Schizosaccharomyces pombe: one gene and its partners. Changing the gene in region 2 together with the main gene of any one other region gives a genetic interaction. Each region holds a gene or a part of one and is shown on either strand. Other genes may lie near its edges.

Region 1 (5,890 bases), on a different chromosome or scaffold from region 2:
TTTTGGACATGGTTGTTTCCAAAATAGAGGAAATTTTGCTAATTCTTTATTTATTTCCTAAACAACAAGAAACAAGTCCTTTTTAAAATAATTTGGCAGTTGCTAAGTTCAAATTTTGCGATCTGACTAATAAAAATTTTGGTTGGCGGCGTATCTGAAACCAACCAAAACTAAGCTTCGACCCAATACATGTAGAGCTGCGCAATTATCAGTATGTTATCATTGCATCGTAAACGACGGAGACACTGTTCAATCGAATAAAAACTGTAATAAAGAGCATAGAGACGAGCAAATTAAAATCAAATGTTTGCCTTATATTTACTATGTTTTCACCTCATCTAGATAAAAATAAAAATAAAAATAACGAGACGTTGCGTAGTATACTGTATTTGCGATTCGGCACAATTACAGGAAACGATCAGCATTGCTGCGAAGTATGCTACGTGAATACGGAGAAGGATGGTTAAGGGAATTTGAAAGGGTCAGACATACCAACTACCAGAATTACTTGATGAGCTGGAAAGGGTTTACAAAGGCACTTGCGCGTACGCCGCAGACTCTACGCAGCAAGTTTAATGTTGGAGAGATTACCAAAGATCCTATTTATGAGGATGCTGGAAGACGGTTTAAGTCTTTAGAAACGGAAGCGAAAAAGCTGGCTGAAGACGCCAAAAAGTATACTGATGCTATTAATGGGTTATTGAATCATCAAATTGGATTTGCCGATGCTTGTATTGAAATTTACAAGCCTATTAGTGGGCGTGCTTCGGATCCTGAATCGTATGAGCAAGAAGGCAATGCGGAAGGTATTGAGGCTGCCGAGGCTTACAAGGAAATTGTATACGATCTCCAAAAGAATTTGGCTTCTGAAATGGATGTTATCAACACTCGCATTGTCAATCCAACTGGTGAACTGCTCAAGATTGTTAAGGATGTAGATAAGCTTTTGTTGAAACGCGATCATAAGCAGCTGGATTATGATCGTCATCGTTCATCTTTCAAGAAACTTCAGGAAAAGAAGGATAAAAGCCTTAAAGATGAGAAGAAGCTTTATGAAGCTGAAACCGCCTTTGAACAATCTTCCCAAGAATATGAATATTATAATGAAATGCTGAAGGAGGAGTTACCTAAACTATTTGCATTGGCTCAGAGCTTCATTGCTCCCTTATTCCAAGGATTTTACTATATGCAATTAAATGTCTATTACGTTCTTTATGAAAAGATGAGTCACTGCGAAATTCAGTACTTTGATTTCAATACCGATATTTTGGAATCGTACGAAAGAAGACGCGGCGATGTTAAAGATCGCGCAGAGGCTTTGACGATTACTAAATTTAAGACCGCTAAACCGACGTATAAACGACCGGGTATGGGACCGGGTGGTAAAGATGCAACTGCTTCTTCTTCTTCTTCCTTTTCGTCAAAGCGTGAAGAAGCAGCAGCCGAACCCTCCTCTTCGACAGCTACGGATATTCCACCCCCATACTCAACGCCATCGGTTGCCGGAGCTTCCGATTATTCTACCCCAAGTGCAGGTTATCAAACTGTTCAGACGACCACTACTACAACTGAAGCAGCAGCTGCTCAATACCCTCAAGCGGCCTTTCCTCCCCCTCCAGTTATGCCTCAACCTGCTGCTGCGGCAGTGACCACACCTGTTGCTGCACCGGTAGCAGCAGCTGCAGCCGCAGTTCCCGTACCTCCACCAGCGCCTGCACCTGCTGCGGCTCCCGCCGCAGAGCATGTTGTTGCTTTATATGATTATGCTGCCCAAGCAGCCGGAGATTTATCTTTTCATGCTGGCGATCGTATCGAAGTTGTTTCACGTACTGATAATCAAAATGTAAGTACTTAAACTTAAATTTTCATTTTTTTCTTATTAAACAAGGACTTTACTAATATATATTTTAGGAATGGTGGATTGGCCGACTTAACGGTGCACAAGGTCAATTTCCTGGTAATTATGTTCAGCTTGAATAAAGCGTTTTTAAATTTACCTAGATGTGTCTTAAAATCTCGCTGCCTACTGAAGTCAATATAGAAGCTTGATTATAGGACTTGTTGTTACAGGTTACTGTTTGTGTGCGCGCTTCAACAAGTTTTACACTGCTATTCAATTTCTATCAATTTTGTCGTTCTAACTATGATGCTTAAATTTAGACATGTATTCCATACATCATCATCTCCAGTGATAATTTAACACTGTCTATGTTTGAATACTGGCTTTTTATCAACGTGTTTCCTTACTGACGTGTACTTCAAAGAGTAGCACATTTTTTGAAATGTTTTGAATAACGTAAACTTATATATATTAATTACGTTTAACTGTTTTTATTTTAATTTAACTAGTCTATCAACAAAGCTGTCCTTTCTTATATCTATACTTTAACAGTGCTAGCTAGGATTGAAGCAAAACATGATTCGAACTAGAGCTTTCATTGTGATATTGAATTTTTTGGGATTTGTAGTTTCAACAGTATAACAATCGGAATTGATGTATTCTAGCAGGAAATATACGACATACAGTATTTAGAGTCGTTGCTAAACGAGAATCGTTTAACGAACTTCGTTAACAGACAGTATTCCATGACTTAAGTGAATAGTTAACTACGTAACCTAATGCAGCAACGATACGGTAAATACAATATCGAGTGTTAATGAAATTTGTAATAAAGTAATTTGCATAGCTGATAGTATCATGCAAATCAATCTAGTAAGTGAGTTAGCACCTACCAAAGGAAATTGGATGATGAAAAGTGTTGTTTGAGAATATCAGTTACAGGATATTATGGTACGCCCCATAAATGCTGAAGAGGATGTGACATCCATGTGGGTTAAATTTCATGAAAGCCTAAATCCCATTCGGTCTAGTTTAATAAAACAAGAAGAATGTTATAAAACGGTTGATGGCGACGATAATCCAATTGAAGAAAGAATTAAAGCGTGTGACGCGGGAATTCAAACCTCTGAAGAACAGAAAAAAGAATTGGAGCATACAATGCAATCTCTTGAGATGATTATTAATGTACTCGAAAAAGCCAATGAAAAACCTGTAATTACAAATAGTCCTTTGACGAGAAGTCGTCGAAACCGAGGAACAAGCTTTACAGCAAATACAGTAACCTTTACACCTGGCATGTCTGTAGCTTTCAAGTTACCATACACGAGGCATAACGAGGGAGGTGATTGGATTCAATGTATCATTATTAAAGTGACTGGAGAAGGAGCAAAACAGAGGTGAGTTTTCAAAAGCAAATATTGTCAGTCGCGAGTTCAAATTTACTTCTAAGCTTATATGTTGATAATATTTTTTTACCAGTATATTAACAAAACCATAGATTTGAAGTGCAGGATCCAGAACCGGATGATGACGGTAATGCAGGTCAAATTTATAAAACTACAGCTAATCATCTTATACAAATTCCTGCAAAAGGAACTCCTTTACCCCCAATAAGCCCAAAAACAAATGTTTTAGCTCGATATCCTGAAACTACTACGTTTTATCGGGCAGAAGTCATTCGCACTCTGCCTGATGGATCATGTAAACTTCGATTTGAAGGAGAAGAGGAAGTTGGGAAAGAAACAGTGGTAGAGCGTCATTTGGTGTTAGAGTACAATGGTTAAAACTGGAACGTTTTACTCAGATTTTTTAGGAGGTATTAGTTAAAGGTTATTTTTATTCACTTCGATATTAGGTTCACAGCATTTAAAAAAATTGATGACATTATCTGTAATATGCATAACTCAGATTTAACATTTTTTTTATTCATTGTGATGTTGAGTTGTTCCTTATATTTTATATATTAATGGCGTTAACGCATGTTAATAACTTAAGCCAAGACAAGGGCTCATTCAAAGTACTTGCTTCTATCGTGTTGCACATCTAACATTGCTAATGTACGCCAAATCTGCTTGCTTCCTTGACATTTTGCAAGGAATCTAATTTTAAAAAATAGTAGTAACATGACAGTCTAGAAAAAATTTCAAACACCTATAGAGGAAACTGAATACTAAAACTAAGTTCATTTAACGAGTATCTCCTATTAAATTATTCATAAAAATAAACAAAATAGAAAAATTGTATATGTATGAATCCTTTGGTTAATGGACTCTGAGATAAAGAAATGTAGCAACCCGGTATATATAGTTAACGCATTTATAGTTACCAACGCTATGAGGGCATTAAGGGTTTGAGTAGCTGCTCTTCTGGTTACATTATGACTGCGTATTTATGGTGGACGTGAATATGGCACCAAGCACAGCTTTGTTTTCAGAACCAAACATTATACTCCTTTCAGAGTTATATTCTGTTTGCTGGCTCATATATTCAAGGAGTCTTTTGTTTAATTCTCAACGATCTTTAAGTTTGGTTTTATTTTATTCTTTTATTCAAAGGGACAATTAATATTCACGTCTCTCTAATTGACCTCCTGGCGCAACGTGCTCGTTTAATTAAACTCTTTCACTATGTTTTCAAATTCTAAAAAAAAAATTTTTCTTTACGTGCTAATTGCCGGTGTTGCTACTTTTTCCTTTGCTTTTCTTGTACTAAATCGTCTACAGGCCGAAGAACATTCACTCGCCTACGTAGAGAATTTGTTTTTAGATCCCTTCATTAAGCAAAATGAATCGCTTGCCCATGCGAACGACAGACCTTTCAAACTGTATTTGGGGATTTTTAGTCAAGCTAAGAACGTGGATAGGCGTAACTTTTTACGTACCGACTATAATGAATATATTAAGGAGTTTGCCGTAAATGATACTGTGGATGTTAGATTTATCCTTGGTTTACCTGAGAATGAGCAGGAATTAGCTACCATTCGCGAAGAGCAGCGAACGTATGGTGACTTAGCAGTACTACCTATTCCGGAGAATGTGGATGCTGGAAAGTCCATTGTATACTTCCAAACATTTTTAGAGGGCTACCAGCCGTTTCCTCTTTTTTCTGAACTTGCAGATAATCTTATAATGCCCAGCACTCAGTTTCATGGTAGTTTTATATATAATCAAAGTATTAAGACATATGAGTTGCCTGGTATGAAGGAATTCCAAGATCTCGGCGAGCCAAAGCATGACTACGATTTTATTGTTAAAGCCGATGACGATTCTTTCTTGAATTTACCCCGTCTGTTTGAAATGTTGAAAGAGCACGTTGGGAAAAGCCGCTTTTATTTTGGAAGGGATTGCACACGAAGAGAATTACCTACCGCTGTTCGTGACTTCCCGTACATGTGCGGGTTCTTCTATATAGTATCTCCTGATATGGCTTATGAGGTGGCTAAACGCCGTAATATTATTATTCCGTTTGAAGATGCTCAGACCGGCTATAGCATTTACCTTTCCGGTAATGTAAAAAATGCGGAATTCTCTAAATGCACATTGTATGATTTGATTTTACCCAACGAAGGTTTTAATTATCGTCAAAGCTATTTACGCATTGACGCCATTGCCGTCCATAAGCTTAAAAGCATCCCTCTCTTGTCGACGGTAAGCAATTGGTTTAAAAAAATGTATGAACATCGTGCCAATTGCAGTGCCTTGATAGAAACTGAACGACTTTCGTGTCTTCAGGCAACAATTCCTTTACCTTCTTTGGACGTTTAATCGTTTCTCCTCTATCGTTATTCTTTGCATATGCATTATTCTTCGTTTATGTTTCATTTATTTGATCCGTGCGTAACGTAACGTTTACACATGTTTCATATCTACTAATGCTTCGTTCTTTATAATCTTTTCTCAATTTGTTTTAACCGCCATCTATTGTTAACATAGTTCTTTCTACGTTCTAATTTTTTTTAATTTATGCATTTTTAAACCAGCTAGAGATTTTTTGAGTCACTAAAAATATAAGTATAATCGATGCTCATCTATCTGCAACAAACACATTAAG
Region 2 (3,766 bases):
CGTGGTTTTGATCGTTTACGTGAAGCTGGTTTTACAGAAACCGAGGTCAATAATTTGCGTAGCCAATTTCATCGCTTACGAGGAACTAATTTGGATTCACTCACGGAAGACGCTATCAGAGAGGCAGAAGACGATTGGATTGACAATGGAGGACAAAACTCTTCTGCCGACGAACTTGACATGTCATATGAAACCTTGTTGGCTGGAGTATTAATAGGCTTTTTTGGAGGAGCTATTGCTTGTTATTTTCTTTGGGAAAGGACAATGTTCTCTCTGAGAATGCAATTATCCATTCTTGTCGGAATTATTTGCAATTTTGCATACGGCTTATTACACTCGTATCGATGGTAAACCCGTTCATTTTTGTTAAAATTTTTGTCCAATACAATTAATCGTTCCACTTTTCGTTGCACTTGTTAATTATGACTACAGTTTAATTGAGGATTAATAATGTCGAATTTTATGATCTATTCGCTTTGATCAAGCGTTAACTTATTAAATGTACGTTTAAAACACCATTTGGATTTATTAAGAAGTGTAAAGTAGGATAACTGTAAAAGTGTCGTATTGAGTGTGCAAAAGTAAAATATGCATATATTCATCGCTAGAATGAAAGATACCAATCAGATCCTAAAACAAAAAAAAACACACACAATAGAGGAGAGTGCTTCTAAAACAATAAAAAGAAGAAGAAATATGAAGGATTATTTTACAACCGGTATCTAAATGGGCTGACCCAAGATTTAAGAAAATTTCCAGCGATTTCCGCAAACAGTACATTCACAAAACTAAAAAAAAATTAGTCCAAATATTCTACCCAAATAGACTAATGCTTACCGTTGTCATAGGCTCATCAGCAGATCTATACGGATTGTTAATAAATTTTACGCGATAAAAAGTACTAAAATCATGACAAATAACATACCTTGTTTGCATTTGGTAATAAGAAACTTTTTTTTGCTTACACTTCCCACAAGTAAAAAGGTCTGTAACAGCTTTTTGGGGTTTAGCACCTTGCGCATGGAATAAATTTTCTTGTTCTAGCTTGGCATCTTCCTTGCGACGGTCTTCTGAAGCCAATTCGGCAGAAGTCATGGTACTGAGTCTTTGCGGAGTAATTTCATTTCGTAATACTGATGCTCTAAGTTTCGGGTTATTTTTATCTTTAAGATTCATATACAAGGACCGCATTCTGTTTCGATATTCAGAACCAGTTTTACCTGCTGCTCTAGCAAGTACTTGCGCATCAATTTCTTTGGCTTTGGCTATTATTAATGAAGAAGATTCATCCGAATCTATGACTAATGCATTGTACATTAATCCAATACAGTTGTTGCGAATCTTGTCATCAGTCACATTGACGTTCACATTATCAGATTTAAAAGTACGCTGACCACTGCTGCTTTGTTTTTGAACTTGTTTTTGAGCTTGAGAACCTACATCCGCATGTTTAGAAGGCGTGGAGGAAGTTGTAGTTGTGGTTTTCAATGGACGACCTTTACTAACATCGGCTTTCCATTTTTTTACAATTTCCCGAGCTTGCTCACCAACTTTCTCATTGGGATGAGATCTGAGCTTGCCAACGACTAATCCCAGCCGGGTTTCCTAGCATCATTGGTTAGTATTTTGAATACCGATTCTCCATCAAATGTTGGTACTCTTGTGGAATTCGTATTTTAAGAAAGATGTTATTTCTATTAAGTGAAATTTGCAAAATTCATGTAATATATTGTCAACAATCCGTGCGAGAATACTACCATATTGCATGTAATAAACCTACCTTAAGTAATTCTTCGGTAGCAACTACTTCATTTTTTAAACGTGTCATAATGTTAATTATAGTCTAGCTTGATATTAGCTTCAAAACCATCTGTAAGTCCCAATAGCACAAATTACAAACCTCTATATTCTTTCCCTGAATAGCTTTTTCCAAAGCTGCTTTCGCAGATCGGATATCAGCAGAGTCCATGATTCAAATTAAGTTCGAATACTGTAAACACTGCTGTTGGTTAGCAGATTGCAAAATTAATAATCTTATGGTGGTAGAGGATTTATTTTGGATAACGCGCTTTACATCTCACATGTCTACTAATACCGTTGTGATTTTTCTTCACCACCATAGTTGCTGATGTGAATATCAACACCCCGTAACGTGATTTTGTTAGTTGAATTCTTGAGTTTGACAGTTTTTTTTTCAAGTTTGCAAACTGTTTTCTGTTTATCGCATTAGTACTCGTGTTTATTTTACAACGTTAAATTTTCATGCTCCTCCGCTGACTTGATCTTACTCAATTGTTAATTGTTTTATCAGCTTTGTTTATGAAAAGCAAAGATTATAATGTTGTTTGATCAAATTGAAGAAACTTGATGTTCAAGAATTTAAAAGTTTGATATTCAGTTTATTTTTGAAACTTACTTTGGTCTATGTGTTCGTTCGTTTTCATAAATTTAGTTTCATGATTGTACTGAGAGACTCAAGTGACTATTCCGACTCTGAAGTAGACCTGCCAAGTATCGAGGTGAACGGAGAACGAGGAAATGTTCCTACCTCAGTGCTTTGTAATGTTGAAGGATCTTTGTTGAATTCTAATCCTGCTTTAAGGCAACCAAATTTGAAATGTATAAAACATAATCAAGACGTTGAAAATACTACGTTTCAACTAGACTTGCGAGGCTGTAGGGTTCCTTCTTCTCAACCTCAAGTTATAACTGAGTTAGAAAACAATATTGACATTCCAAAAAATATTGATGCAATGCAAAACTGGATTTTTCCACAGACTCAGCAGTATAGAAATTATCAAAAGGAATTTTGTGAGCAAGCATTATTCCACAATTTATTACTGGCTCTACCTACTGGGTTGGGAAAGACATTTATTGCGGCAGTGGTCATGTTAAACTATTTTCGTTGGTTTCCTGAAAGCAAAATAATATTTCTTGCCCCCACAAAACCATTACTGTTGCAACAAAGAGTTGCTTGTTCCAATGTAGCGGGAATGTCACCAGGTGCTACCGCTGAATTGAACGGTGAAGTATCACCGGATCGTCGACTTTTCGAATACAATACGAAACGAGTATTTTTCATGACTCCACAAACACTCCAGAATGATTTAAAGGAACATTTACTGGATGCCAAAAGTATTATTTGCCTGATATTTGATGAAGCTCATAGAGCTACTGGCAACCATTCGTATGCTCAGGTTATGAGGGCAGTGCTTAGATCTAATAGTCATTTTCGAGTCCTTGGTTTAACCGCAACTCCAGGATCTTCTACCGCCTCTGTTCAAAAGGTAGTAGATTGCCTCCATATCTCCAAACTCATTGTTCGCAACGAAGAAAGTATAGATATTCGCTCATATGTTTTTCATAAAAAGATTCAGTTGATTAAGGTCACGATCTCCTCTGAAATGAATATTTTAAAATCGGACTTTGCTAACCTATACCGGCCATATTTTAATTTTCTCCGTCAAAAAAAACTTATACCTATCAATTGTGAATGCCTTAATATAAAAGCTTATACGCTTTTCGTTTCTTTACGAAAGTATTCCTTTAGTTCAAAAAATGTACAATCTAAAGAAAAATCAAAAATCATGAGTTGCTTTACGCTATTGATTTCATGTGCTCATATAACGTATCTGTTAGATTGTCATGGGATTATCCAATTTTATCAAAAGCTTGTGGAAACTAAAAATAAAGCTGAAGGAAAAGGGAGTGGACAAAGCTTTTGGTTGTTTACTAGTAAACCGTTTGCTTTTTATTTAGAACACCT
Region 3 (7,695 bases), 1.3 Mb from region 2:
TGTTTTCTTCAGGCAAATTGACGACTTTAACCTCTTCATAGTAAGTCTCCCAAAATTTTGATATCATTTGTTTTGTGGAGTAGTTATAAAGATGAGAGGTATTAATTTGGCTAAATTTTGGACGAGCAAGCATCCAAGTCGGAGCACTATAAATCTTCCAAAAATAAATAGTCGTGGGCATTTCCGGATTAAAATACAAATTACAATTTTCCATGGTTGTTACATTTCTCTGTTCGATAATATTTTTTACTTCCAAAACCGCAGGGATAACACCATTTTGATGCATTATGCCGAAGAAAACTGCCAAAACAACTGCATACATTACAAATAAAAATTTGATCCAATATGAACGAACTAGACATCCAGAGTTCACTATAAAAATAGAGGCTGCGGGTAGCAAAAACCTGGGCTCTTGGTGAGGAAACAGGGATAGTATGAAAACGGGGAGAAGCCATAACCAAGTTGCAGGTTTTCGAACGTCCCAAAGCTTTGGAACAAAAATCAGAGGACCACAAAGGAGTGGCATATTAGTGAAAAAATGTGTTAATCTTGAGTGCAATCCGTGCTGTGACAAATTTTCGATTTGAGAATTGTATTTTAAATTATTCCAAAATGTTATCACAAACACCCCATAAAACTTGTAGTCCTCGAGGATGCATGCTAAGACAGTTGCAAAAGAAACTGAAACAAAAATACATAAGTGCAAAAAGATGCTAATCCAGTTAGTGTTTATTCCATAATATATTTTTAATTCAATTTAAAAATCAAAATCACTTACTCTTTCGGATTGTTCACGTTCTTTTTAAAACATCGAACAGAAAAATAGATATAGGGGGCGATCACAAAAGCTAAAAAAGTGATTCTTGTGAAAAATCCTAATACACTAACAATTGCAAGCAAAAATGTATATAAATAACTAATTTTCTTGTTTAATGGCTGATTCTTGTTAGTTAAGAGTTGCCAGCTATTAACTTACCACACTATTCAACTTCGAAAGAAATAGTATAGTTAAAAAAAAGAAAATCGTTTCAATTGAGTTTGTAAAAGTATGTGTTTGAAATGTAGTAGCCATGAAGGATGAGGAATATAAAAGCAATGCACTCCATCTTGCGTTCAAAGGTACGATGTTCCAAATACTCAAATCTGCCAAAATTAGTCAAGGAAGGAGGAAATAAGGTTTGTAGTAAATTCTGAAATAAATTCCAAATTTATCAGAGCTTAATATTCGCCAATGTACATACCTATTAACAAAGAGATCAAACACATATAGAGTCTAGTGAACAACAAAATAGGATACGGAGAGCAGTTCGCTTTTGGATATGTAAGAATTTCGTTCAATTTAAAATACACTTACATTTGCAAATACACCGGCAAAGCAAGAAAATAGGTAAAAGCATCACATTCAAAGGAACTACAGACCGAATTGGTTTTTTAGTAGTAAATTCCCATGGAAGTTCCACTTTCCAGCCAAATAATTTATCTTTATATTAGTCATAAATTGTTGAAGAATTGTAATATACTTGCGAATATTTGAAACGATTGTAAATGCTCATCCGGATGTATGTATGAGCTGCCTTGCGAAAACCAAAAGCGTAAAATTAGGAGAAAAGTATAAATTATAGCATATTTACGGTTTTTAAACATCCTTAATCTCAATGGATAAAGCACGGGATTTATTGCTTCAGTGTGCAATGGATTACACGATGAAGATATAACGAGATATTCCGAACTATATATGTTTGTTATGAAAAAGGTTTGCTAAGCGAAAATGTAAACAACTCTTGGTCGACGGGTATATGTTTAAGAATACACGAAGCATACAAAAAGTATACGTTAAACTAATGTTTCAGTAAAATAATTGTACTAGAAGAATTGCAGGTCTTATTACATTTTAAATTAATCTAACTCAATACCCAAAACATAATTAATTTTAAACAAATCTAATATTAAAAGCCGTATTTTGGATCAACGATGGGGTAAAATCAATCACTAAGTATAAACAATGTCAACTCTCTTTAAAAAGGGCAAAAAGTTAATAAACTATAAACGAAGCCAAACGTAACATCAAAGATAAAAAATAATACAAAACCCTAAATGCAAAACTGTGCAAATACTTGCATCACATTGCAAAAGGAAATATAGTTAGACACCCATTAATCACAGGTGCAAGCAAAATGTCTTGCTTTGGAAATTAAAACATCATTTTTGTTTGCTTGTCGAGGCCACTGCTGTCTTTCTGGATGGCGGAACTTGAATTCCTCGTTCTGTGGCCGTGCGAAGACAATTTTGTCCAACTTCACTTTTATAATGTCGGTTAAGTGCATCCATGCGAGCAAACCTCTGATTGCAAGTGACACATGCAAAGGCTTTAATGCCAGTGTGTAACTGCTCATGTCTCCGTTTATCATGCTGTCTAGCAAATGATTTCTTACAAATCGAACATTGAAAGGGACGGTAATTTGTATGTGTATTCATATGACTTTTCAAATTATAAGCCCTAGTAAAACGCTTATTGCAACCAGCAAATGTACAAACGTAATTTCCTTGAGACTTAGACTCTGACTTTGCTTTAGACGAAGACGAATTTTCCGATTTGTTTCCTACTAGCGAATTCAATGATCGACTTCGAGGACGAGTATTTCTAACTGACAAATAATCGTTCGACTTAGAATTATCATTCTCTATTTTTCCCAGCAGTTCGGTATCTTGGTTAACAGATAGACATTCAGAAGAATGTGAAAAGTGAGTATATAATTGAGGTATGGGCTCATAAGCATCAAATCGTGAGCCAGCACTATTTGATCGATGACGAGCCGTATATGTGGGTGACATTTCAGGAGCACAAAGATTAGCGTTTTGTAAGTCATAAGAATTTTCATTCATAGCAGGTTGACCAGATACTGGAGATGCAGACTGGCTATAAGTGATACTAATGTCTGTTTGAAGAAGAGGATTTGCTGGCAAACTAGGTCCAGATTGGGATTTGGAAGGAGATGAAGGTACTACATTAATTTGTGGGGTACCCGAAAAGTTGTTTGAATCATAATTCAAAACGGAATTGCTTAAAGCGGTAGGAGAAATAGGGTCAAAAACGTGTGTTGTTAAAGAGGCATCTGCATGGTCCTCAGAAAAAGGAGAATTTACAGAACGAATAGTAGATTCTCTAGCATTTTCGCTGTTTAAAGTCCTTCCGGAGTTTGGAACAAGATATGGGGATGACTGGTGAGAAAATTCAGCGGAAGGACTGTTCTCAAATATGAAAGAAGGTGTGGAATGGTTAGACAATAAATCAACGGAAGGATTCAAATTGGTATTATCCGTATCAAAATCTATACCAGTGTTGCTTTCACCAGGAGACGCGTTCGTAAAGGCCCCCAGGCTCCCGGAAGAAGGTGGTTGAAGGTAGTCAGCAAAAGAACCGGTTCCGGTAATATTTTGTTGATTCTCCATCAATAAAGATGGATCTTCAAAATCAACAGAAGGAAATCTCTCTGAATCAACTTCAGTTCCAGATGCCTGTGACATTACATCAACAAAATTAAAAGCATCGGCTTCATACAGAGCACCAACAGAACCTTGTAAATATGGAGAACTCGGATTTGAAACAGATCCTGAGGGAAGGAAGGATGTTAATAGCTGAGGCGATGAAGATGGAGAAATTTCAGAAGCCGCAATTGCACGTGAAACTGGTAAGAACTGAGAAGAATCGATATTTGAAGACGGAATACCAATATTAAACTCATAAATGGATTGTCGTCTTGAGCCAACATTGTTAACAGTAAAGTCGTTGGCGTTATGAGTAGAACTCGAACCTTGAGTCAAGTCAAATGCTTGCGGACTATTTGATGGATTACTTAAAGGGCTAACGGAGTTTTCAAATACCGCTTGACTACCGAAGCCACTGACTGAAGTATCGTTCAGTTCTGTAAATGAAAAAGTAGGTACATTCCCGGTTCGAGGATAAGAATCATATTCATCGGATTTTGAAGACGTTTTAAAAGGCTCGGAGGTGTTGGGATGGAGGTGCTGAATATTATTTTTAGAAGGATTGGAAATTAAAGAAGAAGAAACTTCAGACGCAAGAGTATCCTCAAAAAGGGGGATATCAGCAAGCGAAGTGTCATTCATGTACGTATGCAACTCGCTAGAGCCTCCAAGATCCGGCTTTGAAAGGTTATCGTATAAAGAAGAAGGATTCAAGTCTTTGAATCTACGATTCGCTTCTTCTGACCTTTGACGCTCCATCGATGAAATTCATCAAATAATTAACTTTTGGAACGGTACGCTCTCAAAAATATTGTCTGAAGACTCACCAACTCTCTTTAATTGAATGGTTAGACAAATTATTTTTCAAAAAGCCTATAACGTGAATTTTTTGACCGAATAGTAGAGTAAAGCTGGTTTGTAGTAATAAATTGGATAAACCAGCAACACCAAGGGTGTGAAATTTATTAGTGGAATGAATAATTAATTACCAAAAGTATCGTTTAATAAACGAAAAAATTAAGACTTGAGGTCGTCAAAGTTAATCCAGTGCTTCACAGGATTTGATCAGATAACGACAGAATTTCTTGATACAAAATTTTGTATTTTGGAATAATGCGCAGGATAAAAGTCTGAGAAGATTGATGGTTAGTACAATATAATTGTTAGCTAAGCAACGTCAAAAAGGGCATTAAGCAATACAAATGAGAGGAGAGAGTGCGACAAATGAGATTTTCACAGATCGAAATGAGGAAGTAACCTAAAGGACAGCACAAGAGAAAACCCTTTAACGATTAGGAAAAATTGCAAAATTAGGTAGACAAGTATACAAGCGCAAATCGCTAACTCGACATGAAAAAAAACAGAATAGCCTCAATATACTACAGCGTCAGCTAAACGCTTTGATTTTCACAGAAAAAAAAATGATAGTTTAATAAATGGCCAGCAGATTATATATTTACAACGGATGAATTGCTAAATCATCAAGATATTTCTGCGATGTAGTGGTAAAGGATTGCACAAGACGTGATCGGGTAACGAATTTTAAGTAACACGCAGTTTAAACTTGAAGTTAGTATGAAGCAGCAGGATGCTAAAGAACAGTTTGCTAAACAAATTAAAAACAAAATATAATAAATTTCCATATACAAAGGATCCCAGTTAAGGAGTTCCAGAAATGAAAAAAAATTGGTTTTTGAAGGATATTCATCCAATTTTCTATTGAAAATTTACTGGACTTACTAAAGGGTGGCGACTTGTGTATAGTAAAGTGATGAGACATGTATTTTATACAAAGCACAAATAGCTAAATAACATGAATGTATGAAAATTTGTTTTATTTATTGAGCGACATCAAATATATATTCTAGTTTAAGGGGTAGGAAGCAAAGCCACATACTTTAAAGTGCCGGTTATTAGTTGAAGGCGTGCCCAAATGTAATACCACTTACAACATGGAGAACTTCCGTAGGCTTGTCAAGAAGCATTAAACCCCAAAGCTTGAAATTCATGAAATTAGCTTTTCAACACCATCCGAAACTCATTAGTGGGGAAGCAGAATAAGGTGTAGTACTACTTATAAATTGTGGAATAATTCTAAGTTGAAAACATAAAGTACTATAAATTATATGTAAGAGACTTCAAACCACCATGCAATTCTGACTATTGATTATTTTTGAAGAATCTTCTCTCACGATACGACGGACGGCGGCTTTGACGAGTTCCAGGCTCTTTGGTGCAGAGGCTTAGTTGAATGTTGTGAACGAAGCGGTTCATATCGGATACTTCAACCGATGTTCTGTCAACTAATATATATCATATTTGCAAATATCAAGAGCATTTCTTGTATTAGATTACCTAGATGCAGAAAATCCCAATTGTAATGCAACGAAATTGCGTATTGTAATAAATGGTATAATAATCTTATTAAGTATTTGTACTTCGTAGCAAAAGATGACTATATTGTGTTGTAAGAGCAACCTATACACCTCGTTTCGTAAGTTCTTTGATGGCGGAAGCTTCATGAGAAGCTAAAAATTCATAGTATTCTTTCAACCTCTGAAAGACTGATTCTCCGTTCCATAAGTCAATCCCTTCACTATTTTTCGTGTGTGCCGGCAAACCGTGTTGTTGAATGACAAACGAAGCGGCTACAGTAGCTTTAGCACAAGCTTCTATAATATTACCCGTCCTATAATACTCCAAGATTGCAGCTCCACAAAAAGCATTACCAGCCCCAGTGGTATCTAAAACGCTTCCGTTTTTCATTTGTACACTTGGCAAATGAAGAATTTCTCGCACAGGGACAACTGCATCGCTTGTAGCGTTGGTACTACTCGTGCATGCACCAATTAAACAACCATCGGACCCATTTCGAAGAACAACCCATCCTTGAGAATCGTGCCCAATTTGGAATTCTTGAAACGCAGATACAAACTCTTTGGCTCGAGATTTGCTTTCGCTAATATCTATACCCAGAAGGTTGGCAGAGTCCACCTCGTTTGGAGAAAATATATCACAATACTTTAAGGCTTTTTGTAAAATATGCCAGTTTTCCGGTAAACAGGATTCAGGCGTTGGCTCCCATACGATTTTAGGACGATTTTTTAGATTTCCATACTTTGCCAGTTCCTCACACACAGAGACAAATGTTTTAGGATTTGTAATAATATGAATTGTTTTTGCATATATCAATCCTGTTTCCAAAAGATCAGGAGCACGAATTGGCTTTTTAGGTGTAAGGTATTCAAACAATCGAAAACCATTGTCCCTGAGACGGTTGTAACCATATGTAGTTTTTCTCCAAGGCGTTTCTCTGTATACAATTCCAGTATGTAAATCGTTTAATTCATCGAGGATCACCTGCGGGAAATCAGAGCCTTTGTCAACAATCATTCCCAGTTGTTGACTTTCGGGTTCAGACGTCCAGAGTCTAGCACCAATCAATGCTGAAAATAATGTGTTAATTATTATTTTAATAATAAAAATATTGGACGCAATGCATCTTTTTTCTAAGGGAGAGGATTTCAACCTTCGATAAACAGATATGCTTCACCAATGAAGTTCGCAAATCGCTCCGCTTAAAATTTTAAAAAGAATTAGACACTTACCAAAAGATCCTGCACCTCCAATAATATCTTTAATCTTCTTTCCGCCGTCGAATTCAATTTCATCTATAATAAACATGCCTTGCATTCGTTAGCACTTATATGTGAAAGTTTTTACCAGTTGTGACGAATTCCACATCTTTCGAAGGATAATCCATTTTGTTAATCCCAAAAAATTACTGTAAGTTGTTTTTTTCTTAATTATAAGAACATATATTGCTTTAATGTTGGTGCATTAAAAGTCAGAGTTAGCGAACATCTGCAGATAATCTACGTAATTATCAATAAACATCCTGCACTCTGTATAGTAATTTAAAGGTAACATGGCGAATAATTAAATAAAATATTTCATATTTATGAAGGAAGTGTTGAATCATGCTGAAAATTAAGTATCCGTAAAAAATGTACTTTTGCATTTGCTTACTTTTGTATGAGATGAATGGGCATACTACTACATACCATATATCAAGCACACATGTCATACTTAGAACATTGTATTTTCCTAACGATATATAGGAAGTACTCATCATTCTCAAAAAGGAATTATCACTTTCCAATATAAAATTAACTAATCTAAGTGTTAGCAATGCAACAGTCCTGACCA

What was found. Genes that interact genetically often act in the same process or in processes that back each other up.
Region 1: mutations in tfs1 (region 2) and sgf29 together harm fitness less than expected from each alone (positive genetic interaction), as found in Schizosaccharomyces pombe (2 studies listed by BioGRID).
Region 3: of tfs1 (region 2) and prz1, extra expression of one rescues a mutant of the other (dosage rescue), as found in Schizosaccharomyces pombe (2 studies listed by BioGRID, with this or other methods).

What each region holds. Positions count from the first base shown.
Region 1 is NC_003423.3:2,416,880-2,422,769, reverse strand, and holds sgf29 (SAGA complex subunit Sgf29), read left to right. Parts: upstream 1-2,724; 5' UTR 2,725-2,788; coding exon 2,789-3,237; exon of another isoform or gene 3,238-3,338; coding exon 3,339-3,624; 3' UTR 3,625-4,032; downstream 4,033-5,890. Other genes in the region: cysteine desulfurase Nfs1, read right to left, coding at 1-10; BAR adaptor protein Hob1, read left to right, coding at 512-1,843, 1,912-1,980; pvg3 (galactosylxylosylprotein 3-beta-galactosyltransferase Pvg1), read left to right, coding at 4,468-5,604. UniProt on the Schizosaccharomyces pombe protein: Chromatin reader component of the transcription coactivator SAGA complex. SAGA acts as a general cofactor required for essentially all RNA polymerase II transcription.
Region 2 is NC_003424.3:2,114,413-2,118,178, forward strand, and holds tfs1 (general transcription elongation factor TFIIS), read right to left. Parts: upstream 2,045-3,766; 5' UTR 1,970-2,044; coding exon 1,901-1,969; intron 1,844-1,900; coding exon 1,781-1,843; intron 1,606-1,780; coding exon 926-1,605; intron 863-925; coding exon 838-862; intron 789-837; coding exon 744-788; 3' UTR 501-743; downstream 1-500. Other genes in the region: protein dsc3, read left to right, coding at 1-351; ATP-dependent 3'-5'-directionality DNA helicase fml2, read left to right, coding at 2,457-3,766. UniProt on the Schizosaccharomyces pombe protein: Necessary for efficient RNA polymerase II transcription elongation past template-encoded arresting sites.
Region 3 is NC_003424.3:784,920-792,614, forward strand, and holds prz1 (calcineurin-responsive transcription factor Prz1), read right to left. Parts: upstream 4,994-7,695; 5' UTR 4,246-4,993; coding exon 2,200-4,245; 3' UTR 1,859-2,199; downstream 1-1,858. Other genes in the region: smp3 (alpha-1,2-mannosyltransferase), read right to left, coding at 1-713, 779-936, 977-1,143, 1,242-1,310, 1,355-1,480, 1,521-1,644; SPOM_SPAC16C9.01C (carbohydrate kinase), read right to left, coding at 5,965-6,932, 7,095-7,172, 7,210-7,249. UniProt on the Schizosaccharomyces pombe protein: Involved in the regulation of calcium ion homeostasis. Binds to the calcineurin-dependent response element. Transcriptionally regulates pmc1.